Schizosaccharomyces pombe: one gene and its partners. Changing the gene in region 4 together with the main gene of any one other region gives a genetic interaction. Each region holds a gene or a part of one and is shown on either strand. Other genes may lie near its edges.

Region 1 (3,295 bases), 590 kb from region 4:
AATGCACAAGCAGTCAATCGCACTGTTTGAGTTTTTGAAAAAATGCATGCCAGTCAAGATTGGATATGTTGTAAATGATGATGAATACTGTGTTATACCCTTTTATTTTCCTTTTAAATTCAAAGAAAGCAATGAACAACTCACTAATCATCTAAGCAACGAAAGAGAAAAAAGAATAGAAAAAAACGTCTATTAACAAGTTAACCAAAAACACTAAAATACTACGTATAGCAATTTCAATCTTCTCGCTATGTCCTACAGACAACCAACTCATGGTTACGTATAACTATACTAAAGCAGTGGTACTCCATCCTTATGCAACAATTCTACAAATGGAAATTTTACAAGACACAGATTTTAACGTACTTTTAAAGTATCTTACCTTTATTTAGATACGCTTAAAATCTCTAACCTTTTTTATCATCCTTTTTCTTTACCAAACTGGTTTACTTGTTTCTTTCCTTGGCAAAAACCGAGCTACGCAATGATCGGCAAAGTAAATATCCATTTTCACCGACAAGATATGGTACTCACTAAGTAATTTCCATTATGTAGCAACAATAACTCTTCCTATACATTTTTGTTGCCTACAATCCCATAGACTATGTCACGTTGCACTCTTCCAAAAAGGACTACCCCAGAAAGAGAGAGAGATATGAGGAAAAAAATTTTTGCTTCTAAATAACTAGAGCAAACAAGTCCCACTGTTGTCAATCGTCGGGTACAGCACAATAATCTCACTAGTAAAAACATGCCATATTCATCTCTGTTTTACCAAAATAGAAAATCAACCTTACATTGCATAATATAGGAATACGGAAGCGAGCCCTATACAGATGGACTGGGTTATGGCGGTTATAGACAAAGGCGCTTTCAAAACCATAATGGATTTGAAACGCTCAAGTAGTGGAAAACACATAATAGTAAGTATAATGCCAAATCCTTTGTAGAAAATACACAGACCTTTTTATTGAAATCGTGAATATGATTCTTTTTTTTTTGGTGATCTCTTTTCTTATTAATGCTATATCTTTTGAATTTATTTGTTTTTTCTTTTATTTAGTAGTATTTTTTTTGCATTTTGTTATTTATCTGTTCGCTTTTCTGTTGTACATGTAATAGTTGCAACGTACAGACAAATTAAATTTTTATTATTCTTATATTTTTTATTATTTCCAAGCTTATCACATAAATTACGATTAAAATACCTAAAGTGCAAAATATGATTTCCAAATTGATGATTCAATCAAGCAAAATAATTTTCTTTTGAGATAAGGAAGAATTTGTTAAATAATCAAAAGCACAATTTATAAGGTACAACGATTTTGAAAGTCGCTAGTATATATGTACACAAATCTTGTTCTGTATTCCGTGACAGGCTTTGTATTTGAACAAAGTATTGCCCAGCTAGACAAAAATCGTTTGGGCAACAAAATTTTAAAGTAGCAAGAAATAGCTTCAAACAATTAGTTGATGCTTGAAAAAATACAAAGAAATTTTTCTTACCGAATTTTTTCCAGAAACAACGATACAATACTTATATAGGTGAAATTTCCCGAGAAAGCTTTTTAAATTCCCCAACTTGGAATTCCAAGGTTGATTTATCAATAAGTAATTTCTTTACAAAAACGAATGATTTTTAAATGTCTGTAATTTATGCCTTTAGCATAATGTTCATCAATAGATCAGGAAATTCGTTTACTCATCTCTAGCTTATTGTTTACTAATTAAGGCACTATACTGATCATAGTCGCTCACAGTGTGTATTGGCTTTTACGATAATGATACACTCGCTTTTCCATCACTTACCGCAAAATAATGAGTTACAGCGAAAGAAAATTGCACTTGTCAAAGACAAACTAGCTTGTCATAAACACCAGTGCCTTCCCCATCAAGCAAGGAGGAATCCCAATGTCGGCAATAGGGTCTTTGATATTTTGCTCAGAATGCGGTAACTTGTTGGAATCGACTACTGCCCAATGGACTACTTGTGATCAGTGTCAATCCGTTTATCCTTCTGAGCAATTTGCCAATTTGGTAGTGGAAACGAAGAGTAGTGCAAGTGCTTTTCCTTCTGCTTTAAAACTCAAGCACAGTATCGTTCAAGTAGAATCTCAGAAGGAGGAGGCAGCAACGGTATGTAACTTATTTTTGTCTATTCTTTTCGAATCCTTTTTTTCATGTTGGTTGTCATTCTTCTTTCCTTTTAGGCTTTGTATCATTTGGAAAACTTTTTTTTTTTTAAGAATGCATTAGGAGAGTCTAATCAAGGAACTTTTTTGTATCATATATCCAGTGAATTGAAAAATCGGCACAGTCAGGCAAAGGACTTTATCATAGTCCTTTTTTGGGTTTATTGCCATACTAACAAAGTTTTGTAGATTGAGGAAAAATGTCCAAAATGTGGAAACGACCATATGACTTTCCATACTTTGCAATTGAGGTCTGCTGATGAAGGTTCTACGGTGTTTTACGAATGTCCTCGATGTGCTTATAAATTTAGTACAAACAATTAGATTGAGTTTTCATCTGTTAATCATTCTTTTGGTTGTGATTTTCTCAATATTTCACTGTTTCTTACGCCGTTCTTCATGTATGTATGCTGACTGATTTGTATGAAGACTATTGTTTTTAATATCTTCGATTGTCCTTCTGCTTCCGTTATTTTCATGCTCGATAAATTTTATTTGTCTAGTAATACGGCAACGTTCATGAAATAGAAAGAGATGCTCTTGATATCCGATTTTCTTGTTTTGTCTTCTATTTTATCCAGGTGTTAAAAAAAATAACAGTTCTTCTGTTCTTGTTGGTTCTATTTTTCGGGGTTACTTTTTGTTTAAAAAATAATATGGTATAACTTATTCCTTTATTCATTATTGTCTTTCCTGGTTCAAACTAAATAGAGAAAATTCATTGTCTATCACGATTGAACCTGTGGATACTTCCTTTCTCAGAATTTTTAAAGAGTTTGAGTTTCAATGTTTATCAGCATTTTATGAATAGTAGTATATCGGTTATTTATTTCTTTTTCTCTAATATGGAAATGAATGTGTAACGAAATGGAGCGTACTATGTACCGTAACACTCAAGAGCCCAAATGGGCAGGTAGGTGTTCAACCATTTGAAATATATTCTCACCTGCCTTTTCACATATGGCGTCTGTTAAATCCTTTAAACGAAAATATTTAAAACTTCGAAAGTCATTTGATTCGGTAGTCCTTGAAACAGAGGAAATTGAACAAAAGATTGCTGAAATATCAGAAGTTTATCGCAGAATTTTATTAGAAAATGCGTA
Region 2 (7,939 bases), on a different chromosome or scaffold from region 4:
GGTGTGACAATCCAAACAATGGATTCAAAGCAGTTCGATAAGGGGAAATCATTAGCTCAAGCGTACCTTAAATTAAATGGGAAAGAAACATATACACTATTGACAAAGATTTTGAGTTTAGGAGCTGCCGGCATGTTAGAACATGTCCTTTTACAATCACTCTATTTACCAAATTGCCAAACAAATACCGTAGCTCCTCAAATACATGGGCGGATTACAGATACAGGAGGCCTACAACTAATTTCAAAAGAAACATTTCCATCATTTCAAGAAAGTTGGGCTAAAAAAATTACACCTGAAGATGCTCATGTTAATTTTGAAAGCATGAACACGCAACAAATATACAACATGAGCAGAGCTTTTAATCACGTATGGTGCATTTTAAATAACAAAAAAGTTTTTTTGTACGACGTTCATCCGTTGCACTCAACATCAGCAGAAGATTGGATTCACATGAAGCCAGGAGAGTTTGCCCTCTTGGAGAAAAATCTTCTGTTGGTGAAGACATTAGACCATGTAATGGTTATAAAAGGAGGAATTCGACTATCTGCTAGAAAAATAGTTGATCCTGTCGAATGGGGGAAAACATTTAATAGTGGACGAGGGGGTCGATTCCAATATGTGTAAATGATTTAAACGGTAAATAATAAAAAATTGATAACTTAATGCTTTAATTTAAATATTAATTTCCTTTTTTATTCGATTGGCTAACGTCAATATCCTTTAAAGCGCTAATGTAAATTCTAATACATACTCAAAATAGTCTTGCGTCAGCTTGAAAATAATGTTGGTATCATCTCTAAAACGGAGAAATCCATAAGAGTGCTTTTAATAATAAGATTAGCGCTATTGTATGGGGCCTTTAGATTCTTAAAGGTGTGTCTCTCCATTAAAAACTCCGTAGCCATACAAGTTTGATCCTCACTTTCACCAATTGAATCTCATTCCAATTTCTAGAGCGGTTCATATCATACAGTGTAAGCTAGAACCAGCGATCTAAAAAAAAGAGGATAAGAGTGAATTGATGAAATCAATTGAAGATCCAAAACTTTATTGTTCGCAGCGTTGGAGCGACCAAAAAGCGAACTTTCACAATTTGAACCATTCCATGTGCGAAAAAAACAGCATTATGAATTAATTTCGTTCCACTCAACCCTTTTACCATAGCATCATTCGCAAAGACGTGAATGGAAAAAATAATATTAGACGTCTACAAATTGGCAAAAGGACATTGCAGGTCATCAATTATTGAAGAAGGTAAATCGAGTTTTCATCGATTAATGTACTATCATTTATAACAAAAAACTCACAAAGTAACAGTAATATAACTCGTAAACTGGTAAATTGTCAATCGATTGGTTCAGGGAATTAGCGTCTATAAAGTATGAATACAAATGAAAGAAGAATATTTTTGGTAACTTTGAAAAGAGTAAAAATTTGCGTATTATTTAGCTGTCATGCTCCAAAATCTGTAGGTCGATCTTCAACTGAGGAAGTGATCTCCGATTTCCGTGTATCAAAGTGTCAGAAGACTGCTCCTCGCTAGGAATTAATTCAATCGTTTGATTAAAGGGAATTTTCTGCTCGTTACAACGACGTTTTAATAGTTCAACTAGACTTACTAGTTTTACAGTAGCATCTCCTTCAGCCACAAAAGAAACTTGTTTTTCTTTGACAAAAGAATCCCACAACTTTAAAGAAAGTTGCTTAGCATTTATACTTTTCTCTATTATCATAGTTTATAAGCAAAAGCCTGCATGGCGTTTAGTAGGCTAATAACGTGGTAGTTAGACAGGTGCTCCCAAACATTAATTAATAAATTACATAGTTGAAACAACATTTTACTGCCTTGTAAAAAGATGTATGATTTTAATCTTAAAGCAAAGGTATATGATATAACAAATTTAAAATCTTTTTCGCTATTTTTATTGTAAGTACCTCAGTTTCTTGCTAGTCTTAGAGAGTTCAAGCAAAGTAAAGCTCGATCAAGCTAATACTGACACGATTCAACGTCCTTTGTAACCTTTGGAAAAAGGACGAACACGAATCGTATACACACCAAAATGCTTATAAAATACGAACATGTTACAGAGCGCTCACAAATGTCTGAATTTTAAGAAACGTAACTATCGTAGATTGCATATAATAGGAATAAGTAGAAAAGAAGAGTAGATAGTAAAGTTAGTAAATTGCAAAGTTAAAGGCAATTTGCATCTAAGGCAAAAACTGGTACCAGGGGATAAAAAGAGGGAATGAAACAAAGAGGTCTTTGAAGATGATCATGATTGGAACAGTTTCGATAATATGGTAATTAAATGGAGATCCACATAATGCTCAATACTACGTCAATAGCCTCACCGCTCTCTTTGATAGTAGTCATTCCATCCTTTTCACAATTCCAGCAAGCAGCGTGAGCTGCGTGAACGCCTCTAGAAGGATGATCTTCGGGAAGCTTTTGTACAAGAGTGGAACTAACAATCCATTTGTAAGACTGGGTTTCCTTATTCAAAGCATTTAATACGGCATACTAAATGAGACATAAAGTTAGCTACCATACATAGATATTTGTAAAATAAAATGAACTTACAATAACAGATTGATTCATTTCAGCTGTTTTGTCTCCGTCATATTCGGAAGCCTTCAAAACCGGCTGAGCAGCTTCTAGGCAAATTTCTTCAAGTTTTTTGGAATCTATAGGCTATTTTCATAATCAAATTAGTAAACGAATCGCGTATTTGACGACTTACACAGCTCATTTCGAAATGGGGTATTTTGATGAGTACAAGGAGGGTACGCAGTGAGATAAAGACACCCACAGCTAGTACGACGTTTAACGGTGACAACCCCATCGATACAAAGTTCAACGCGAACATAACTCACGTTAACATTTCTTTTTATTGTTGATTTCTTTTTGCTTTAAACCTGAAGTTAAGTAAGGATTTTTCGCTTACAGCGAATCGTCAACTTCACGTTGGGATGAATGAGATAATTCAAATAAAGCATCAAGTATTGCTTTAAAGGAAAACAGCGTTTATTTCTATTTCTTACATTCTTTAATTAATACCAATTTGAAAACAGTTGATGGTTGAAACATCGATAATTGATTTCGAAAGAAATGCATAATGATTTTGGAAACCATGTCTTCCTCTAACCGTAATAATTGTATCGAAAAAACTCATAATTACACATAATTACTGGTGTTTGGATTACCAAAAGACATTAATGTGTGCTTTACGCTTTTAACAATACTCTTAGCAAGTCCAGTTTCAGTAATGAATTGAGTGTGTTTCTTTGAAGACGGGCCGAAGGAAAAAACAACAATTTAAATTCTCTGAACTTAAAGTGTATAGAATCTGTTTTTAGTTATCGAAATGTTAATTCAGCATGAAGGGAAAGCGATTGTTTTGCTGTTCATAGAATCCAAGTATCAATGTAGCGAAATCATCCAAATCTTTAACTATTTGATCATTGAATAAAACTACAAGATAATTTATGTTTAGTATTCCTACCATTAGTTCTTTCAATAATTTTACAAAAATGGAGAAGATCTCATCGGTACTGCGATACATAAAGATGCTACTACCCAAAGATTTTAAATCAATGATCCTTTCAATCCCCTAACCCTTTTATCCTTTTCCTTTTTTTTCTTTCCTATAGATTATTTACTGACTTTTATTTACAGGGACATTCTGTGATATAACGGTATTATAACTTGTTTAATTGTTATATAAATGTAAACGTTATTGCCGAAAACCATGTATAAAGTGCGTTATTCTAAAACTGTATATAGAATATAATAACATACTGCGCGAAATTTAATTGTGAGATCGAACAATTCAGTAACTGAGTATTTGGAGTAATAGTGAATTTTTGCGAAGGAAAATACTCGATTACCATGTAAACAAGGGTTTGATGTATGTTAAAAAGTTGTTAATTAGAAATGGATAATAGCCACTCTATTATAATTTGTTCTAAAAAAGTTGGGTATTCTTTAACGACCCGTTGGAACCGATCATTGAAGAAACTTCAATAGTGGATGAGACATTTTATGAATTTTTAAATTAGTCAAATACGGTTCAAATTTTAGAAAACATACGTGGAAGTTGCATCCTGTCTAGAATAAAAAATTCATTTCCTTATGTATCGGAACGTTGACAATCTTGTTGACCAAAAGAATATACTATCGAACCCAAATCTTAAAAGTCTTTTAAGCCCATTATACCTTGTGTAAAAAAAAATAAAAATAAAAATAAAAGAAGAAATAGTAGAGAATATGCACAGTTTTGATCCTCTTTAAAACTTTAGAGGGATGAAGCAATGCATACTTACTTAGTAAAATATGGATATAATAAGCTAGCTAAACTTGACCCATTATTTGAGTAATTATATTCACTATTCAACATAGTTTCCTAAATTCATTATTACTTTAAATTAATGAACTAACTAATTTATTAAAGATGAAAACAAATGGTTAAAATTGAGTAAAATCAATCATTATATTTTTTGTTAGTCTCTATTATCAACCTCTTTATTAGTAATACATTCCGAGATATAAAATTCCAGAAACGGAAATTATTTGTTTTAAACGTATAATTACAAAACCGAAATCGCCTTATATGGTGTAGGAGATAAATCTAGTAAATTTCGTACCTTCTTCTACAAACATTTGGCGTGAACATGCTTCAAGCAAGGATTGAGGAAAAGCAAAAGGAATACGAACTAATATGCAAACTAAGAGATTCTTCTAATGATATGGTTCAACAAATAGAAACGCTTGCTGCTAAATTGGAAACTTTAACAGATGGAAGTGAAGGTATGTTCATTACGAGGAAAGTATATAAAAGAGCCTTGTCACCAATCTGTTTAAGTGCTATTCATGTGAACAAGTATAAATATCATTACATTGAGAAAAGCAAAGAAACAAGTGAATTGATTGGATCTGCAGGATTGCAAATAAAAGCAATCATTTGCCGACATGTCTCTAAATGAACTTCTACCTCTCAATAATTCACCTAAACGTAAAAAATATAATCTGTTTATTTATTTATTTTTTCTATTTTCACTACTACTCATACATGCTTGACGACTCTTTTTAATCCATTATAATAAATGTTTGACACTCAAATCACTAACAAAATCAGCTGTTGCTACTGTTCTCAATAATTGGCCCAGCATTTTTGAGTCAATACAGATAGCATCCCAACATTCAGGAGCTTTAGTCCGAATTCCTCCTTCTACTTCAAATACCAACGCATCTGCTACGGAGCAAGGCGATGTTGAAGAGGTATAAAGACTTAAATACTCTTTTTAATTTCTCACTGAAGTAGAAAAGGCCAAGAATTGGTTAAAATAAATATTATTGTTCTGTCCATTTATTCATATTGTTTCTTCTATTTCAGAATTGGTAAAGCCGACAGCAAACCCAAGTTCCAAGTATCTTCACTTCCTAATGAAATGGAGAATGAGATCACCTTGTAAACTAAATGATATCTAAATTTTTCATTTGGTCATTTTCTTTTGGCGTTCGTCCTGTTTCGCTTGTTTGAATACTCCCAGCATTCCCTTACGACAATTAATTTCTTCAAGGACAAACAATTTATTCAGGAGTGATACTATTGTTATGTAATCAACAAATATCGTGGTCCGATGCCCGATTTTTTAAAAAAAAGTTAAACTTATTTATCTTAACCTTCGCCAACCTCTCGCCATCTGCCACTTACCTTTTTAAAAATATTTCTTAGGAAATCTTGTTGATCTTCCGCTAGAACTTTTTTAAATAACCAATAAAAGGCGCTTTTGCTGGTCCATTAGTTCCATTTGTCACAAATCTGCTTTTTTTACGCAGTTTTACATCTTTAGGAAAAATCAAATAAATTTTGTCAGTTAGTATTTAATATGCCTGTTGATATCAGTTCTCTTTTGCATGCTGGGTATTCAAACCCGTTGCTTCGTGAATGGCAAGGTGTACGTCCCATTACCAAGTCATCTCTAATGTATCCTATCTTCATTTCCGAAATAGATGATGCTAAGGAAGCCATTGATAGCATGCCTAATCAATTTAGATGGGGTGTTAATAGATTGGAAGAGTTTTTGGGTCCTCTCGTCAAAAAAGGTCTTCGTAGTGTAATTCTGTTTGGTGTCATCGAGTCCAAAAAGGACTATTGTGGTAGCATGGCCGATTCCGAAAATGGACCAGTTATTAAAGCCGTTAAAGAAATTCGTCACCTTTTTCCGGAGCTGGTTGTTGCTTGTGATGTTTGTCTCTGCGAGTATACTGATCACGGCCACTGTGGTCTGTTATATGAAGATGGCACTATCAATAATGCTAAATCCGTTGAGAGAATTGCTGAAGTTAGTGGAAATTATGCCTTGGCAGGCGCTCAAATAATTTCTCCTAGTGACTGCATGGACGGTCGTGTTAAGGCGATTAAGCAGAAACTTGTAGAGTTGGAACTGTCTCATAAAGTATGCGTTATTTCCTATTCTGCAAAGTTCGCTTCTGGTTTTTTTGGTCCTTTCAGAGCTGCTGCTAATGGTGCCCCAAAATTTGGTGATCGCAGCTGTTATCAACTTCCCTGTAATGCACGTGGCTTGGCCAAAAGAGCAATTCTTCGCGATGTTAGAGAGGGTGCTGATGGTATTATGGTAAAACCGGGAACACCTTATCTCGATATTTTGGCAATGGCTTCTAAGCTAGCAGATGACCTTCCTATTGCTACTTATCAAGTTTCAGGCGAATTCGCCATTATTCATGCTGCTGCTGCCGCTGGCGTATTTGAATTAAAAAGACATGTGATGGAAACCATGGATGGCTTTATGCGTGCTGGCGCTAACATAGTTTTGACTTACTTTACTCCTGAATTATTGGAATGGCTAGAATATTAAACAAAAAATAATGCGAAATCAATCATCTTCAAAATTATCATGATTGAAAAATTATTTTGTTTATATTCTTTAATGGTCTAGAGTTTCACTTATGAAATTGTTTTTCGAATCTGCGATTACCGGTTCTTGTTTATTAAAAATTTTCGTTTATAATCTGTAGCAGTTATTTACGAAAGAAATTGTTTTTCTTTCTTTTAAAATACTTTAAATTCGTGTGTAGAACAAGATTTTATCTTAGACAACCGTAGGTTGCCAAATTATCGTGATATCCTATTGACTCCTTTTGCAAGCGATGAACGGACATGTTAAAAATTTAATATTTAATTTATATAATTTGATAGATTTGTCTCAATACTTCATGGCAGTTAGAATAAAGTAAAGTACATTATCCACGTTTACTGACTATAACTTTCTAGCATGATAAGATAAATTAAATATTCACTATACTTCACCCAAAGTAATTGGAGCATGTTCTTCTCAAACATCTTTTACCTTATGAGTCAACATTTGGTAGCTCAGTGAAGCTTCTGACTATTTATGTATATATCGATATAACTTACAATGAAAAAGTATGACAGCTGCAAATGATTCAAAAGTAAAATGCAACGACAAGGAACATGCTTCTACGCTCTTCAATTGCATATGATGCATAATGCATTGGAGTAATAATATGAATCTATGTATATAAGGTAGGACAACAATTAGTACTAATTAGAATCAAAATCTTCATCCTCAACACGTTCAAAAATTTCAAAATCAAAAAGAATGCCAACAAACACAGAATCTCATCTAGTGAGCATTTTTTTTTTGAACAACAGTAAGCAATGTAATTTAAGCAGCCGGGATTAACGTCACATTACGATTCCGGAAGAATTAATTTAAAGAAGGAATCGTATGGACGTATTATGTTGCAAATTGTAAGCGGATATTTAATAATGGGAAAAAAATAAAAAAAGTATCGACATAACAGTGAAAGACAAGAAGGAAAGACGTTGAATAATCATGACTATTCTTGTTTCGATATGCAGCAAGACAGTAAGCGAAGATGGAACTT
Region 3 (8,662 bases), on a different chromosome or scaffold from region 4:
CACGAACCTGGAGAGCACATGCCTCCTCCTCCTATGCACCACGAACCTGGAGAGCACATGCCTCCTCCTCCTATGCATCACGAGCCTGGAGAGCACATGCCTCCTCCTCCTATGCATCACGAGCCTGGAGAGCACATGCCTCCTCCTCCTTTCAAACACCATGAGCTTGAGGAGCATGAAGGTCCTGAGCATCATCGTGGACCTGAGGACAAGGAACACCATAAGGGACCCAAGGATAAGGAGCACCATAAGGGACCTAAGGATAAGGAGCACCATAAGGGACCTAAGGATAAGGAGCACCATAAGGGACCTAAGGATAAGGAGCACCACAAGGGACCTAAGGACAAGGAGCACCACAAGGGACCTAAGGACAAGGAGCACCATCAAGGACCTAAGGAGAAGCACAACGAACGTCCTGAGCAAAACATGCAAAGTTCTCATGAGCTTTTGGTCATTGAGGCTTTCGCTGACCTCATCAATTCTGTTCCTGTTGAAGAAATTGCCGAAGAGTTTTCTCGCTTTTTAGACACTCTTGGTATTGAATACTATGGTAACATTCCTGTACATATTCAAGAAAATGCCCCAAAGGATTCATCAATTCCCCCCCTATTTGAATTCGACGATGATTTGGAGTTGAGTGATCTCACTCCTGAACAATTTGCCTACCTTGAAATGCTCAAGGCTGAAGGTATTGATCCTATGACTGCTTTCCGTGACCAGAGTCATCCTGCTAAGCCATCTAATGCTCAACCTGCTGATTCTTCACGTCCCTACGCTGTTTTTTCACAAGAAGAGAATGGTGAACATGTAAATTTAAAGGCTTTCCCTGATCACACTCTTCGCGTTAAAGATTCCAAACCTGAATCACTTGGTATTGACACTGTTAAGCAATACACCGGTTACTTAGATGTCGAAGATGACAGACATCTTTTCTTCTGGTTCTTTGAATCTAGAAATGATCCCGAGAATGATCCCGTCGTGTTGTGGTTGAACGGTGGTCCTGGTTGCTCTTCCCTTACTGGTTTGTTCATGGAATTAGGTCCTTCTTCAATCAACATTGAGACTCTTAAACCCGAATATAACCCTCACAGTTGGAACTCCAATGCTTCAGTTATCTTTTTGGATCAACCTATCAACACGGGTTTCAGCAACGGAGATGACTCGGTTCTTGACACTGTTACGGCTGGTAAGGATGTTTATGCATTCTTGAACCTTTTCTTTGCCAAGTTCCCTCAGTACGCTCATTTGGACTTTCACATTGCTGGTGAATCCTATGCTGGCCATTACATCCCCCAGTTTGCCAAGGAAATTATGGAGCATAACCAAGGTGCTAACTTCTTTGTTGCCAGCGGCTATGAAATGGAGAAGCAATACATCAATTTGAAGAGTGTCTTGATTGGAAATGGTTTGACTGATCCTTTGGTCCAATACTACTTTTACGGAAAAATGGCTTGCGAGAGCCCTTACGGTCCTATTATGTCCCAAGAGGAATGTGATCGCATTACTGGTGCCTATGATACCTGCGCTAAGCTAATCACTGGCTGTTACCAGACTGGCTTTACTCCTGTTTGCATTGGTGCCTCTTTGTATTGCAATAACGCTATGATTGGACCATTTACTAAGACTGGACTCAACATTTATGATATTCGTGAAGAATGCCGTGACCAAGAGCACTTATGCTACCCCGAAACCGGTGCAATTGAGAGTTACTTGAACCAAGAATTTGTTCAAGAAGCTTTGGGAGTTGAATACGATTACAAGGGATGCAATACTGAAGTAAACATTGGTTTCCTTTTCAAGGGTGACTGGATGCGTAAGACTTTCCGTGACGATGTCACCGCAATCTTAGAAGCTGGCCTACCCGTTCTTATCTATGCCGGTGATGCTGACTACATTTGCAATTACATGGGCAATGAAGCTTGGACCGACGCACTTGAGTGGGCTGGTCAACGTGAGTTTTATGAGGCCGAATTGAAGCCTTGGAGTCCTAATGGAAAGGAAGCTGGTCGTGGTAAGTCTTTCAAAAACTTTGGTTATCTTCGCCTCTACGAAGCTGGACACATGGTTCCTTTCAACCAACCCGAAGCTAGTTTAGAAATGTTGAACAGCTGGATAGATGGTTCTCTTTTTGCTTAAAGTGTCATCAGTTGGACATTTTACATCTACTGAATAGTTGATATGAACCGAATATGACTGACTATTGGCTAATATACAGTAGCCATAATTAATCTTTGCGTTTTATTAATTAAATTGATTTTAATATTTGAAAGATATAATGATGAATTACATAAATATTTGTTTTTGTAGTAGTAGTAAGTAACGCTGTTGGAAAACTTTTCACTGTAAGTATTTCTTCAATTCTCGCGGTTTGTGTCGTAATAGTAACAACATAGTTATAATTCCCGACCAATATTACTACGCCGATAATTACTGCATACAAAAATTTTTGGTTTAAGATGTAAACAGTCGATTGTAATTGAAATAGATTGTCCATAACTAAGTGCTTCGTAATAAAAATTATCTTGATCACATAAAAGTATTACTCATCCATGTGCTTCATAAATGTACGCTTGTGATGTTGAACACCTAAGGTACCAAGTTCGTCAATGTCAGCCTTGTCTAGAGTGAAAGAATCAAAATTCAAGCACTCCTTCATACGCTCAATTTTTGAGGTAGTAGTGATAGGTATAACGCCTTTAGAATAGGCCCACTTGAGAAGAATTTGAGTATCAGAAACATGGTACTTGCTCTCCAATGATTTAGTGAATTCAGCAACAGGACCTTGCGCATCACGAACCAAGGGAGAAAGAGGGCCATAACCCTCAACGATAATTCCTTTACTCTGGCAAAATTCTACAAGAGGCTTCGCGGCCTTGTATACTTGAGGGTGAAATTCGATTTGGTTGACACGAGGAGTAATAGTTGAAGTTTTCAACAGCTCCTCTAAGTCGGGAATACGAAAGTTAGAAACACCAACTGAGTGGACAAGACCGGTTCCCAAAGCCGTTTCCATTGCTTTCCAACCTTCAGAAATGGGTATTTTCTTTTCATAGAAAGGAATAGGACTATGCAAAAGGTACAGGTCCAAATAGTCAGTACCAAGCTTACGTAAAGATTCGTTGAGGGCTTCAGGAATGTTATCGACATTATGCATAACCTTGGAAGTAATAAAGAGTTTGCTTCTTGGAACATTAGCTTCCTTCAAAGCCACCCCAACTTCCTCTTCGTTGCCATATACTTCCGCGCAGTCGATATGAATGAAACCAGCAGCAAGTGCATTCTTTACCGAATCTACAATGGTTCGATTGATTTCTCCCTTTTCTTTCTTAAACAAAGCTGTACCAACCCCATAAGCAGGGACGGGAATCTTAGGGCCCATAGCAGCGATAAGCATGTTGAAAATGTTAAGAGTACGAAAGAACTTGAAAGTAGAAAAAGAGTAAGCTACAAAGAGGCGCTACTTTAAAAGTTGCAGGATAAAAATTGTTAAATAGAAATGAATGGAATAAACGTTAAACCGAGATTTTTGCAAGCAAAAGAAAAGAGAATCGCAGCAAGAATTAATAAATTTCTTCTTTAAAAATGCTCTGTTTAGGTGAAAAGAGTGCGAGAAAGGGCCGTATATCGCTATTTATATAGATTTCCAAAAACTTAGTCAGATGACATCAGCCAAGTCTGGCTTGGCATACAGAATATCTGACTGACGTTGTGCAGCATCTAAGAGAGGAGTCTTTGGAACTTTAAAATGAAGAATTATCTGATCAGATAAGGAACAAACGTGTAACCAAAAGCAGATTTGTTCCAACTAAACAGTGTAAGTTGAATAGAAAACAGTTTTACAGGCAAGAATAAGTTGAACGTTAGATTCGGTATTTAATTGATTTAGCAATATTCAATTCTTGAATGAATCCCTCTGTTTTAGCTGCGAGGATTATCTTCACCACCAGATGAGTTGGCGGTTTTTACAGCATATTCTTACCTATAATGTTAATAAATGTAAGGTAGTTACCATTAAGCTGTAGCGTTATAATAGCAATGCTTTAATCATAAACAATGCTTACTCAGTTTTGCTAGATCATTTTTTACTATAGTCTTTATCGGCAAGAAATTGAGGAAACTCCTTCAAGGCATGATGATCGTAATCATTTAAGAAGTCTTTGACATGTATTATGCATCTAAATGTCAGAGGTTGAGAAAAAAACAAATAAACAAATCTGAAAGTGTCAGGAAAATGACTTGGCAATAATTCAAGCTTATTCATGTTAACCAACGTCAATAGTAATGGTTAATAACTCGACGTCCGCTTAACAAACACTAGGGTAAATTTACCTGCAACTTGTAATTGAGGAATTCTAAACGCATTCCCCACAAGCTAGTTTCTGTTAACAAATATTTTTATAGATTTTGTCTAAAATCTATTTTCTGGTTAAATAATCAGTAAATTGCTACACTTTTATTCACAAGAAAACAAATTTTTAAAATAAAAATTTATTAGTGAAATCCTATATGATGATTTAAGTTACCCTAATACTCAAAAAAGGAAGGTTGTCCGAGTGGTTATGGAGCTAGTTTAAGGCACTAGTGCGAAAGCTCGTGGGTTCGAGTCCCACACCTTTCATTACGATCTTTTTAATAAATTTTTTTACATTTTATAAACAAATGTAAAATGACCCTTAAATATAGTTAAAACATATATATTGTGGATATCTCTATTCATCTTCTTCCTAAATTTTTCGTCTCGGCGTTGCATATTTGGTCAACAAAAACTATTCAGCGCTCTTATGATATGGAGATGCTTCTACAAGAAAATCATTTCGCACTACAAACAGATGGGGTGGTAAAAACAATTAAAAATTCGAATTATATTTAAAAGACAGATAAAAGGAAAAATAAAATAGCAACCTTAGACTCAAATTATATAGCCGATAGTCAAGATAATATTATTAAGTTCGACTTAACAAGGTAAAGTTTGAAAACTTGTTCAAAAGAAACCAGAAAATAGTATTAATAGAAAAGAAGAAAGACAAGACAATTTCAATGTGGGATACAAGATGCTTTAGCGAGTGGATCAATCAAATTAAATCAAATTTGATGTTTCTGCAATTCAAATATAATACACAGCTTTAAGGCACTATAATAAGGCCTAGTTAAAGTCAGAGAGAAAATGGGGGAAAATTGCTTAGTGATTTCAAGGGTAAAGAGAGGAGAAAAAATTTGGAAAGCAATTAAAAAAGAAAAGAAAAATACAACAAGATTTATATAGCACACAAAATTATTGATAGTTAAAAAGGACCAAAGAAACTTTTAACACCTTGAAAGCAATTTAGCAGCTAAATGATTCAAACGCAATCACAATCTACTTAGCCTTAGTGCTGATCTTTCCCTGTTCGTTGAAAAGAGGTCCCTCAGTTCCAAAAACACGGTCCCAAAACCAGCTGGTGATACCATAGGCAGACTTGTAATCCTTGTAGTGATGGTCCAAATGCCAGGTCTTCAAATCAGTCAAGTAAGCATTGGGCATACGACGGTGATGTAAGAAATAGTGGGTAAGATCGTAGAAAACGTAACCAAGAATGGCACCAGAGAAACCAGCAACACCAATGTAGTGAGGAAGAACAAGTTGAATAAAGTGATACCAGGGAGTGGCAAAGATAAGGAACAAAGCAGGAGGCATTACAAGACGGTACTTGTCAGCAGGTAAGAAGTGGTGGCAACCGTGGAATGCGAAGTGCATAGTCAAGAAAATAGGATGATCAGGGGTGTACTCATCCAAGTGGAAGAGGAAACGATGCATAGTATATTCAACCAAAGTCCAGGTGAATAATCCAATGATGAAGAAGGTGATAGCAACAGAGAAGGGAATTCCGGTACAGGCGTACAAGAATCCATAAGTGACACAGGGAACCCAAATCAATGGAATCATATACCAAGGGGTCTTGGTAAGAGGCTCCAAAAAGTTTCCAAACAAAGGAGCAGAACCGCTGCCACGGTAATGACGGGGACGGTGAACTTGGTCCAAATAAACATCCTTCTTGATGTTACCAAACAAAATTTGGGGCAATAAAGGCTTCTTGAGGTCAAGGAAATGGTTCTTCTCGAAATCCTTGTCAAGATCGGTAGGCTTGACAATGAATTCATTGCCATAACCGACACCAATGTTCTGGTCGACAAGATCACTGAATTCCTTATTCTTCAAAGGAACCTTAGCACTTTTCAAGATCTCAACAACAGCTTCAGAGTGCTTGGACTTGGAGGTAGCATTAAGGATATCAGCAACCTCTTGGCGGTGATAGCGACGAAGCAAGTCAGCAGCGTCCTTGTTGGCAACCAAGTAGTTGGTGACTAATGGAATGTTAGTATAAAGAACGATACATGTATTTTGGTGTAACTAAGGCAAAGGGGGAAAGGTGAAAAAAAGTTAAAAGCACAACGAACAAAGAAAAAAGATAAGAAATGGCACATCTCCCACAATGGATCTTTTGCCAATAAGCCTTTGCTATATGCGTTTTCATTGTTTTTTATACATTGCCTCTCAAACACTCTGTTGCCGAGAAAAAATTTTAGTCCTTCAACCAAATCTCCTTCTCAAAACCCAAACACCCTGCCATTTCTCCTTGTTTAAATACTTACCATCGTATTCAGTGCCGTCAGAAAGGATAACACACTTTTCACTAGTAACAGAGGCCATTTTGGAGATGGGAGTATGAATTGTTAATTCGTGATAAAACTGTAGCAAGCGTGTTTCTGATGAGTTTGATAAACAAATACAGTAAATATTACAACGTAGCAACTGATCCTATGATTCTTTACTTGGATTTTTGTCCAATTGATCAAAATGTCAGTTCTTTGTTTGTGTTGCGTTAATGGCACGATGTTGTGGCGTGGATGCAGTAGCCTATATATGTCGCAGGAAAGGGCAAAAAGGCATTGCGGGGCGAACCAAAAAATCGTGCTATTTTTGATCGACTTTTCCGAAAAATGGTAAGACAACGGAAAACAATATTTACCGTATCGCAAAACGGGTTCCGAAACTGAACACCAGAAAATTGCACTCAAGGGCCTATACACAGGGAAAGAACAGACGAGTGAAGTGCTTTACAGATACAATTCATTGATTTATTCATAGTAGACTAAAAATTATTATTTGCGAAAAAATACTTGAAAAGAGAAAACCTTAAGTTGATCGAAATTTATTAACTTTTCGTGATTTACTTTTCGTTGGTTTGGTTAGGTATAATTTTGTTTTCCTTCCTTTCCGTTTCTTTGCTTCTTATTGTCGGTAATTGTTTTTAGCTTGGAATTTCCTTATTCCGCTATTCCTCGCTTTCTTTTTTGTTTGTACTAAAATTTCTCTCATCTTTTATCGCTTAGGCAGTAGAATATTCCACTTTTTTTTCCACCGAAAGAAAGAGGACAAAATAGCTCAAAAGAGTACTCATTATTAATATTTTTTAACAAAACAATTCGTGTTAGAAGCGACGAAAGCTACTAGACTGACAAAACTCCATTTTTACTAGCTTACTTAGTTTTCCAGTCGAAGTCTGTTCCGATCCTGTCAGAGTTTGTTGTATTGAAAACGAAAATAAACGAACGTATTTTCCACGCATAGATAAACAGATCTAATCTAAATGCAGCTGGACGCGGAAGCCTTGGCTGAGGCTCCTTTTCGTAAGCAAGAAGTGGTACGTTTACAATTTTTTTCCTTCCTTCCCGCCTTTTCCCTTTGTTTTTTTGTCTTCCCGTGTTTATTGTTTTTACTAACCCTTTTCCTAGCCGCAAAATCAAGAAAATCAGCAAAAGGCATCTTCTTCTTTTCATGAATCCTCACTCACCTCTTCCACTCATAGTCATCCCTCTAACCCTCCTCCACCGCCTACACGGTTGCATGATCGCTCTTTCAAACCCGTGTCTAAAAATTACGAAAGTGAAGGTCGTCTAACTCCTCCTCCCGTTTCAATGGGTTATCGGTACGCCAGATCTTCCAAACAATCTTTTCAACGAGAGGATAGCGGTTATAACGATGATGTAGTTACAAATTCCTCAAGTCATCGCACCCCAAGACACCATAGGAGATCATATAGTCCAAGGTCCGATTATGGTAGTCGCTCTCCCTCTCCTCACTCTTCTGTAGATTCTCATCAAAGTAGATCACCCGTTCGTTCTCGCGATCGCGATCGCAGTTCAAGGTCAAGTCGAAGCCGCCATCCCTCAAGTCGTAGTCGCCATCGATACGATGATTATTCACGCAGCCCTCCTTACTCTTCGCGGCATAGTCGTAGTCGTCGCCGCTATGAAGAACGCTCCTCTCGTTCTTCTAGAGCCCATGATTATGATTATGAGGACTTGAGGGATGATGACCGTTCACATGAGCGTAAGAGAAGTCGTTCCCGTCCTCGTGAACGCTCCTCTAAACTTTCAGAGGAAGAGCGTGATCGCCGTACTGTGTTCGTTTCTCAACTCGCAAATCGTTTGACTTCTAGGGAATTATATGATTTTTTCGAACAAGCTGGTCCTGTTCGCGATGCTCAAATTGTTCGAGACAAGATTAGCGGACGATCGAAAGGGTATGTCTTATAATTTTTTTTTTTTTTTTAAATAGATATTATTCTGTTTTTTTTTATTTTTCAAATTGGGTTCGTTTGCTAACGAATATAATATAGTG
Region 4 (8,057 bases):
CCCTTCTTTAATAAACCATTTGCGTCAATATCTTAATCAAGATTTTAGTCGTCTACATCAATCCCCTTCACCCATCCCTAATTCTAATGATAATGACTCTCAAACCCGCCGGTCGTCTTGGTCATCTATCGCTTCTGCATTTAATGACTTTCCTGAAGAATTTCCGAATGCCAGCAATCCTGAAGCGCATTCGAATTTTACACCTCTTAACGGTAATGATGAAAGCACCGTCAATATGCTTAGCCGGTTACTTTCTGCTGCTGCCATTGAAACAGTTGCTTCAATTATGAATAGCGAAGCTAGGAATATGGACTCCCAGAATATGGCAAACGGTGAACCATCTCGCTTTCGTTCTGTTGATGGTTCATTTGAACAGTTCTTAACCGACCTTCGTAGTGGAAATTTGACTAATGTTCTTCAAAACTCTTCTCAAAATGGAAATGATCAAATTTCTTCTGACCCTGAGTCTAATTCCTCAGACCTTCAATACTTAAGGATGTTCCGTTTTCCGTCGTTTCATCAGTCTCACAATCAACCTGCCTCTAATAACGAAGCTTCAGATACAAATGGACCGGCTTTGGTGCCTGTCCTTATCGTTTGTATGCGTAGCATTTCCGAGACTTCCGAGGATCATGCGCCAACTATGACTCAAGAAAATCAAAGCCTTCATAACGAGAGTAGAGAAAACATATCCATTAACGATATAACCGAAAGAATGGCTCAGTCCACTGAATTTTCCACTGATCTTCCTCCTACATTCGAGAGAAGCAATTCAACTTTTTCACATCCTGAACCTACAAGAAGTGACTTTAGCCAGGCTTTTACGCCGGTATCCGATTTCCCTGCAAATCTTTTTCCTGGTTCCAGAAATTTGTTTCCAACGTCCAACTCGGGTAATCAATCTACTTCTTCGTTTTCGCGCTACAATCAACCTACTGTTTCCGTGGATTTAAGGAATTCAAGTATACTAAGAAGAGCTCAAGAACCTGTAAATGGTTCAACTGGAGAAAATCACATTGGAGATGATTACATTTCTTCATTATTGGATAGTTCAAATTCCAATTCACAACGACCGTTTTCAACAGTGCCTTCTGAATCAAATGTTTTTTCGAGGAACGCCTCCGGCAATTTCTCGATGTCACAAACTCATCAGCCGACTACCGATAATACCTCCTCATTTTCCACACAGCCTGGAAGGTTATCTACAGGACTCCATCATTTTCCGTCTGATCGAGATTTACTGTCTAATCAAACTAGACGTTCTAGCTTAGCACGGAGCTATAGATTTGAGGAACAACTTTCTGTTGATGATAATACTAGCGACTTTAGTACGTTGGCTTCCAATGGGGCTGCCGACATGGTTACTCAAACGCATTCAGAGGGAACTTTCTCTAATAGCACCCATGGTGATTGGCTTATCTATGTGTTTGGTGGTCTGTTTCCAGAACATCATCCAGTTTTGTCTACAGTTAGCTTGTTTAGCGATAATCCCATGTATGAAGACTTGTTGGCTCTTACTACATACCTGGGTCCAGCGAAGAAACCAGTCGCTTCTCATGAAGATGTGAAACGATCGGGCGGACTTTTTGCATATTTCGATGATGCTTCACTTTCTAGTGCTGATTCTTGTCTAATATGTTTAGAAACTTATACTAACGGTGACATATGTCGCAAGTTGCAGGCTTGTAAACATTTTTTCCATCAGGCCTGCATCGATCAGTGGCTTACCACTGGTAATAATTCCTGCCCGTTATGTCGGGCTCATGGGGTTACGACACAAGCTGAAGAGGAAAATTAATTTTGACTTGAAATTAAAGCTGGCCTTATTCTATGTTTGTTCACTCTCATTTATTTTCCTTCATCCGTCAAATTTGTTGAATAATTGTTCGCACTATTTGCTTGTGAATGAAATCTACATAATAGCTCTTCCCATTTTTATGGCTGCTATAACCTAAAACTGCTTGACCTTGTTCAACTATCTCTTTGGGACTTTCTCATTTTTCTCATTTATGACCTTATTGATAAAATTTTTGTAATTTTCTACTTGCTGCACGGAAACGAATTGTTTTGTTGTGCGTCTTTTGTTAGAAATAACAATTGCCTTTTTTACAAAGCTGAGTTTTTTCTAAAAATCATTTTAGTTAATCGGTTTGCACGTTTAATATAATTTATTTTCCTTTTAGAAATTTTGCTTCGATTTTTACATATTAGTTTAGATACAAAATTGATGCACATTATCACTTTTAAATATATTTTCTAACAAACAAGAGTATTCATATTTATAATCATGTAAGGATTTTAATAAGAGATCATATTGAATAAGCTTAAATTATAAGGATTTGGTTCTAAGTCGATCATCGAAAGTTTTTAGAATGACGGTGTTTGATACCCTAATTAGTCTTCATGAATACAATTATTTCAGGTCTGAATTGAGTTATGACTTAAAACTTTTCGAAAATAGGAATTAACAGAAACAACAATGATAAATGGAAATGCAGTGGGTCATTCAAAAACCATGTAATTCAGACAAATATTAAAAGCGAGAACTACCATCACTAAGATGTGGAAATCTCTTAAATGGTGAGCTGCTGTCACGACTAATTCCGCTGTCATGAAGATGATGAACACTTCTTCTTTGAAGCGCTATAGGGGTACGGGGTGTTGAAGTGAGATGATCATGTGAAGAACTTCGGTGTTCAAGGAAGGTATCTATGGGTTTTCGGGGTGTGAAATATTCAATAGATGCGGTTGTGGGACCACGAGTAGTATTAATGGCAACATCTCGTTTAACTACCGAAAGTCGAGGTTCTACAAATTTCTTATCATACTCAAAGAATACCTGGCGATGAAGATATTGTTGATCTTTCAGCAGTAAGGAAAATTTATTGACAAAATGCAATGTTGTAAACGAAAGGAGAAAAGTCAACAAAGTCACGCGTAGAGAAGTGCTATAAAACCATAAAATCAAGGCATGAGCAGGAGAAAATAAGCAAGCAAAATTTAGTAAAAATTGATTTGGGCTCCATACTTTCAATTCAAAAACTTGTTCATCGCCATCATCATTATTTGAGTGCTGGAAAACTGGTTTTACATTGGGAGTAGAAGTCGTCGTGCGTTTGTCTTGAGGCAAAGTTCTATACAGCTTATTTTGAAATCGAGTGCTAAATATGAAATTGAGAAAGCTGATGAAAAGAAAACAAATTGAGAGAAATGATAGGAAGGCACGAAACCAGGACCTAGAGGTGTTGATGGACTGCTTATCCACAAAGAGCTGGTTGCGTTGAACTGGTACATGCGTACTTTTTATATAAATGCGCATTAAGAGAAAAATAAAATTGACAGCCAAGCTAAAGGGAATCGAATAACGATCTGATACTTTATCCCACTCTACACTGTCAAATTGTTCGCAAACATAGATAAAGTAATCGATCGGAAGATTGATTATTTTAGAAGTCAGCGATGTACGACGGATTAACTTTCCCATTGAAAAGATTTTTAAGCAATGTTTTGAAATTCAGGTGTACTTTTTGAGTATAAAACAACGCCGAATTAGAAATGAAACAAACCATGGACCTGAAAGGTAAATTCCGATATTCGTATACTAATGAACGAAATTAGGGCACTTCTCCGTTTCAGGATTCAAACCTTACGTATTAATTAGAGTAGCAAAGGCTTTTTAATTAGCTAGGTCGAGCTTGCTATTATCGACTTCAATTGCAACAATGAAGGATAAAAAGTTTTTTATTAAGATAACTTTTTAAATCCGGTACGTAAACAAGTGTGCAATAAAAAAGAAAAAAAAAAGAATTTGCTTTCGCAGGTTGATGTTCCTAAGTATTGGTGTTATTGATGGTTTCAACTTTACCACTACTACTGCTGTGCAAAATCAGTCGTCGATTTAAAATTCCTATTTTTAGGAAATATAAGCTCGATCAGTGACATAAATTTAAACAGTTTCGTTTGACGTTTTACTAATTAATGAATTATTTCCTTAAAATTTAACGGCTGAAGTTTTTTTTGACTTATGTTTATTGTCTCTTATTAATAGTGATGCATGTGGTTTAACTTTTTATTTAATAATTTATTTTCATGTTATGTTTCAGATTTAAATTTTTTAAATCTTTATTTCACGGTTGAAATCAAAAGTAGTTAATATAGCTCATAATATTCAGCAAACAAACTACTCGCCATTCTTGCGCAGTTGATACTGACCTCTTTTTCAAAGGACTTTTTAATAATCATCATCACAGCCATTGTTAGAATTTTGCTTTCTTGTTGGAGAGATTGCTTGAAATAATAATTCTTTAACTAAGAATATATCAGATGTGGCTGTGATTACAACTTTTTATTCAATTTATCGTTATTGATATTATTTGAACCAGCGGTTAAACAAGCATTATCCTAAAGTTGATTCAATTCACATAAACTCTTTGCTCAATGCCACCCAAACGCAAAGCATCCAAGAACTCTGTTCGCGGAAGGAAACGTAGGACACGGACCAATAACTTACCTCTTAATCCTGAAGTGAAAGAGGAAACTGTTGTATCTTCAACTCACCGTCAAACTCGTAGCCAGTCGAAAAAGCCAAGTTTGTCTTCCTCAGCGGAACCTCCTTCTGAGAGTTTAGATGACAATATATCAGCGTTAAACTCACTTCAAAGGAGCGCATCTTCATCCGAAAAAGGTTCCGATGAAGACAATGAGAAGTTAGGCAGCTCAGAAGATGACGAGTTTGACGACGATTTTGACACTTGGGAACAAGTTGATCTTTCTCCTAATAAACAAGAAGATAAAAAAGATTTACACATAGTCACACAGCATATCACTCCTCAACTTACAAAAGAATCGAAGAAAGGCTCTTCTAGTGCAATGGATAAAAGCATTCGATTATCTATTCACATTATGCACTTTACTTGCTTGTTGTACCATGGGTCAGTAAGGAATCGCTGGTTAATGAATTCCTTACTTCTTGATGGGCTGCGCGATTTGCTTGTCGAAAAGCAACCGTCCGTAGTGGAGGCGTGGGTTTGTAGTAGCCAGACGCACGAGGATTTGTTAAAATTGTTAAATGGGCTTCGGATGTGGTGGAATAAATCTTTTAAAATTGAGAGTCATGGGCTTCGGAAGTTGGGGTATCGTACTTTGAAACAAGGATTTGATATCGGCTTTTCGCCAGAAATATTTCATAACTTTCATGAATACCAAGCATCCTTACTTTCGCTAAAAGGAAGCCGGGATTTGGCGGCACAGGGATTTACTGCTCTCTGTCGATCTCTGAATCTGAAAGCAAGACTTATATTTTCTCTTCAACCTTTGACATTTTCTACTGCTTCCTATGATGATTGGTCTCCACATATCCTCCCTGAAGAAACTAGTACATCTATAGATGACGACCTCCGCTATCCTATTTTTTGGACGGAAATCTATGATCAAAGTGAGAAGAAATGGATTGCGGTAGATGCGGTTGTCTTGAATGGGGTATATACCAACGATATGACTTGGTTTGAACCCAAAGGAGCGTATGCAGAGTCAAAACATCTACGAATGGGTATTGTTGCTGCATATGATAACGATTTATACGCAAAAGATGTAACTTTGAGGTATACAGATTACCAATCAAGTAGGCTTAAGAAAATTCGACACGTTTCTTTTGCAGATAAGTATTTTGATTTTTATAAGGCTATTTTTGGGCAACTAGCAAAGCGCAATAAAGATGCAGAGGATATATATGAAGAGAAAGAACTGGAAAGTAAAGTGCCCATTCGCGAACCTAAAAGCTTTGCAGATTTTAAGAATCATCCTGAATTTGTATTGATTAGACATCTTAGAAGAGAAGAAGCATTGCTTCCTAACGCCAAGCCTGTGAAGACAGCAACCTTTGGTAACGGTAAGAAAGCTACCTCTGAGGAAGTGTATCTCCGAAAAGATGTGGTCATATGCAAAACGCCTGAAAATTATCACAAAGAAGGACGAGTAATTAAGGAAGGAGAACAACCTCGAAAAATGGTGAAGGCGAGAGCCGTCACAATTAGCAGGAAGCGTGAACACGAATTTCGGGTTGCTGAAACAAATGAACCAGTGCTTCAGGGTCTATATTCTTCCGATCAAACTGAGCTATATGTTCCGCCTCCAATCAAAGATGGTATTATTCCTAAGAACGGTTATGGTAATATGGATTGTTTTGTTGAGAGCATGATCCCCAAGGGCGCAGCACATTTGCCATATCGAGGAATTGCTAAAATTGCCAAGAAACTCAACATTGATTATGCGGATGCAGTTACAGGGTTTGAATTTCGTAAACATCGTGCGATTCCAGTTACTACAGGTATAATTGTACCTGAAGAGTCGGCTCAAATGGTTTACGAAGAATTTCTTGAGTGTGAAAAAATCAGAATAGAGAAGCAGCAGATGAAAGAGAGAAAAATTATTTATGGGCAGTGGAAACACTTGCTAAATGCACTTCGTATTCGAAAGCGTATTGAAGAACAATATGCTTAATTCCTGGCTTTCGTCGGACACTTTAGGGTTTGTATAACCGGATGTGTGTTTTTTGAACAATGAGGATACTTAATTCCAAACGTTAGACTCATTTATTTATTTATTGTTTTGCAAAATTGACATTTGGTTATTTGTGAAGTATTTTATTTATTTAAAGGAAAAAGAGGAAGCAAACTACCAAATTATCTAATATTTTATTGATTTAAAAAACCCCAGATTTTTATAGCACTATTTTTCATATTGGTGGATCACACTCTATTTTTCGCTTTATAGATCACCCAATTGCATTACCTTGCCAATCGTACTACAAATTTTTTGTTTGAAGGAACAACGACTTAATAAAATAAAATAAAAATAAAAATAAAAATTTTCATTACACGGTAATATCCAAGTTGCTTAAAAATAGCTAAGTCGTAAATTTTATTAAAAAATTAGATATATTCATATAATATTAATACTTTTTAGCATTTTTTACGAAAAAGATGTAGTAAATATAGTTTAGAAGGAATCTTATCATGAGTGTTGCTAAGTACCTCGGTAACCTCGATATTATGGTATCATGGTAGGCCCATTTAACACCACCACGCTTTGTTGCAAAAGCGCGTACTATGCATATATTCTTGGCGTTTACCAACCACGCATTTTAGTCATATAGAAAGTGGAGCATAAGAAATCTGGTTATTGAAAGGCAATTATTCATTCAATTACTCAAAAATCTCCCAGCTGGGTAGTAATGGTACTGGAAAGGAATTTTTATGAAGAAAGCATTGTTGAAGAACTAAGAGATTTTTTGAAAGAAAGCCAGAAGCCCGAAGCACCAGCGTCGCATGTGTGATAGTCAGGGAATTCTCGACATAAGAAGAGAATTTCAAAATGGCTGGCATCACTGAACATTCGACGATTATGAATGATGCAAATTTTAAAGAGGAGAATGCTCACCTGTCAGATGCATCAATCCACTTTGGAAGTAGTGAACAGGATAAAACACCTTCAGATTATGAATTAGATGATGTTTTAGATCTTTACAATGATACTACTGAAGACGATGCCGATGATGCAGACGATGTTAATAACTACATAATGTCTCCATCCTCCAGTTTATCTAGCGAGAGTGAACATGCACTAGATGCTTTAGTGTATCCCATTTACAGTCATCATAACATACTTGAGCACGAAAATAACTCTGACTATGCTTCAATTACGCCTAGTAATCATCCTGCATTTACATCATGTGCTTATCTGCAGAATCCAGTCGTTGATTCTAACAATGAATACGAAAGCAAGTTCAGACTTTCTTTAGAGATACCTCCAACTGATTTCTTATCTACTTCTACTGAACTTTCGAAGCGTGAATCATGCCTTAGTACTGAAACGTCCTCCTCCAAATTTTCCGCCGTCACCGCTGCCACTATTACCAACGAAACCCAGAGTGAAAAGCGTTCATCCCAAACAGATCCAAGCCTTCCTTTCAAAACCAACTCCCTTAATTGCGACGTCACTTATGAAGAAGGTCCTCTCACCAAAAAGCTCCGAGGACCCAAAAAGTACAAGCCCTCCCA

What was found.
Region 1: mutations in nur1 (region 4) and rpa12 together harm fitness more than expected from each alone (negative genetic interaction), as found in Schizosaccharomyces pombe (2 studies listed by BioGRID).
Region 2: mutations in nur1 (region 4) and dad2 together harm fitness more than expected from each alone (negative genetic interaction), as found in Schizosaccharomyces pombe (2 studies listed by BioGRID).
Region 3: mutations in nur1 (region 4) and scs7 together harm fitness more than expected from each alone (negative genetic interaction), as found in Schizosaccharomyces pombe (2 studies listed by BioGRID).

What each region holds. Positions count from the first base shown.
Region 1 is NC_003421.2:1,038,222-1,041,516, forward strand, and holds rpa12 (DNA-directed RNA polymerase complex I TFIIS subunit Rpa12), read left to right. Parts: upstream 1-1,878; 5' UTR 1,879-1,911; coding exon 1,912-2,136; exon of another isoform or gene 2,137-2,381; coding exon 2,382-2,516; 3' UTR 2,517-2,795; downstream 2,796-3,295. Other genes in the region: Ino80 complex subunit Iec3, read left to right, coding at 3,153-3,292. UniProt on the Schizosaccharomyces pombe protein: DNA-dependent RNA polymerase catalyzes the transcription of DNA into RNA using the four ribonucleoside triphosphates as substrates. Component of RNA polymerase I which synthesizes ribosomal RNA precursors. Required for growth at higher temperatures.
Region 2 is NC_003424.3:2,782,887-2,790,825, reverse strand, and holds dad2 (DASH complex subunit Dad2), read left to right. Parts: upstream 1-4,533; 5' UTR 4,534-4,677; coding exon 4,678-4,813; exon of another isoform or gene 4,814-4,844; intron 4,845-5,141; coding exon 5,142-5,290; 3' UTR 5,291-5,667; downstream 5,668-7,939. Other genes in the region: methionyl-tRNA formyltransferase Fmt1, read left to right, coding at 1-627; protein Pop6, read right to left, coding at 1,449-1,736; dynein light chain Dlc1, read right to left, coding at 2,312-2,527, 2,588-2,698, 2,748-2,756; porphobilinogen synthase Hem2, read left to right, coding at 5,896-6,885; serine/threonine protein kinase (CK1 family) Cki3, read right to left, coding at 7,892-7,939. UniProt on the Schizosaccharomyces pombe protein: Component of the DASH complex that connects microtubules with kinetochores and couples microtubule depolymerisation to chromosome movement; it is involved in retrieving kinetochores to the spindle poles before their re-orientation on the spindle in early mitosis and allows microtubule depolymerization to pull chromosomes apart and resist detachment during anaphase.
Region 3 is NC_003424.3:4,054,984-4,063,645, reverse strand, and holds scs7 (ER sphingosine hydroxylase Scs7), read right to left. Parts: upstream 6,871-8,662; 5' UTR 6,689-6,870; coding exon 6,631-6,688; intron 6,611-6,630; exon of another isoform or gene 6,343-6,610; coding exon 5,357-6,342; 3' UTR 4,831-5,356; downstream 1-4,830. Other genes in the region: cpy1 (vacuolar carboxypeptidase Y), read left to right, coding at 1-2,136; SPOM_SPAC19G12.09 (NADH/NADPH-dependent indole-3-acetaldehyde reductase AKR3C2), read right to left, coding at 2,540-3,394; RNA-binding protein Rsd1, read left to right, coding at 7,629-7,682, 7,774-8,564, 8,661-8,662. UniProt on the Schizosaccharomyces pombe protein: Ceramide hydroxylase involved in the hydroxylation of sphingolipid-associated very long chain fatty acids. Postulated to hydroxylate the very long chain fatty acid of dihydroceramides and phytoceramides at C-2.
Region 4 is NC_003421.2:447,932-455,988, forward strand, and holds nur1 (protein nur1), read right to left. Parts: upstream 3,833-8,057; 5' UTR 3,485-3,832; coding exon 2,534-3,484; 3' UTR 2,278-2,533; downstream 1-2,277. Other genes in the region: SPOM_SPCC4G3.12C (ubiquitin-protein ligase E3), read left to right, coding at 1-1,798; DNA repair protein Rhp42, read left to right, coding at 4,438-6,498; GTPase-activating protein Gyp3, read left to right, coding at 7,372-8,057. UniProt on the Schizosaccharomyces pombe protein: Has a role in meiosis.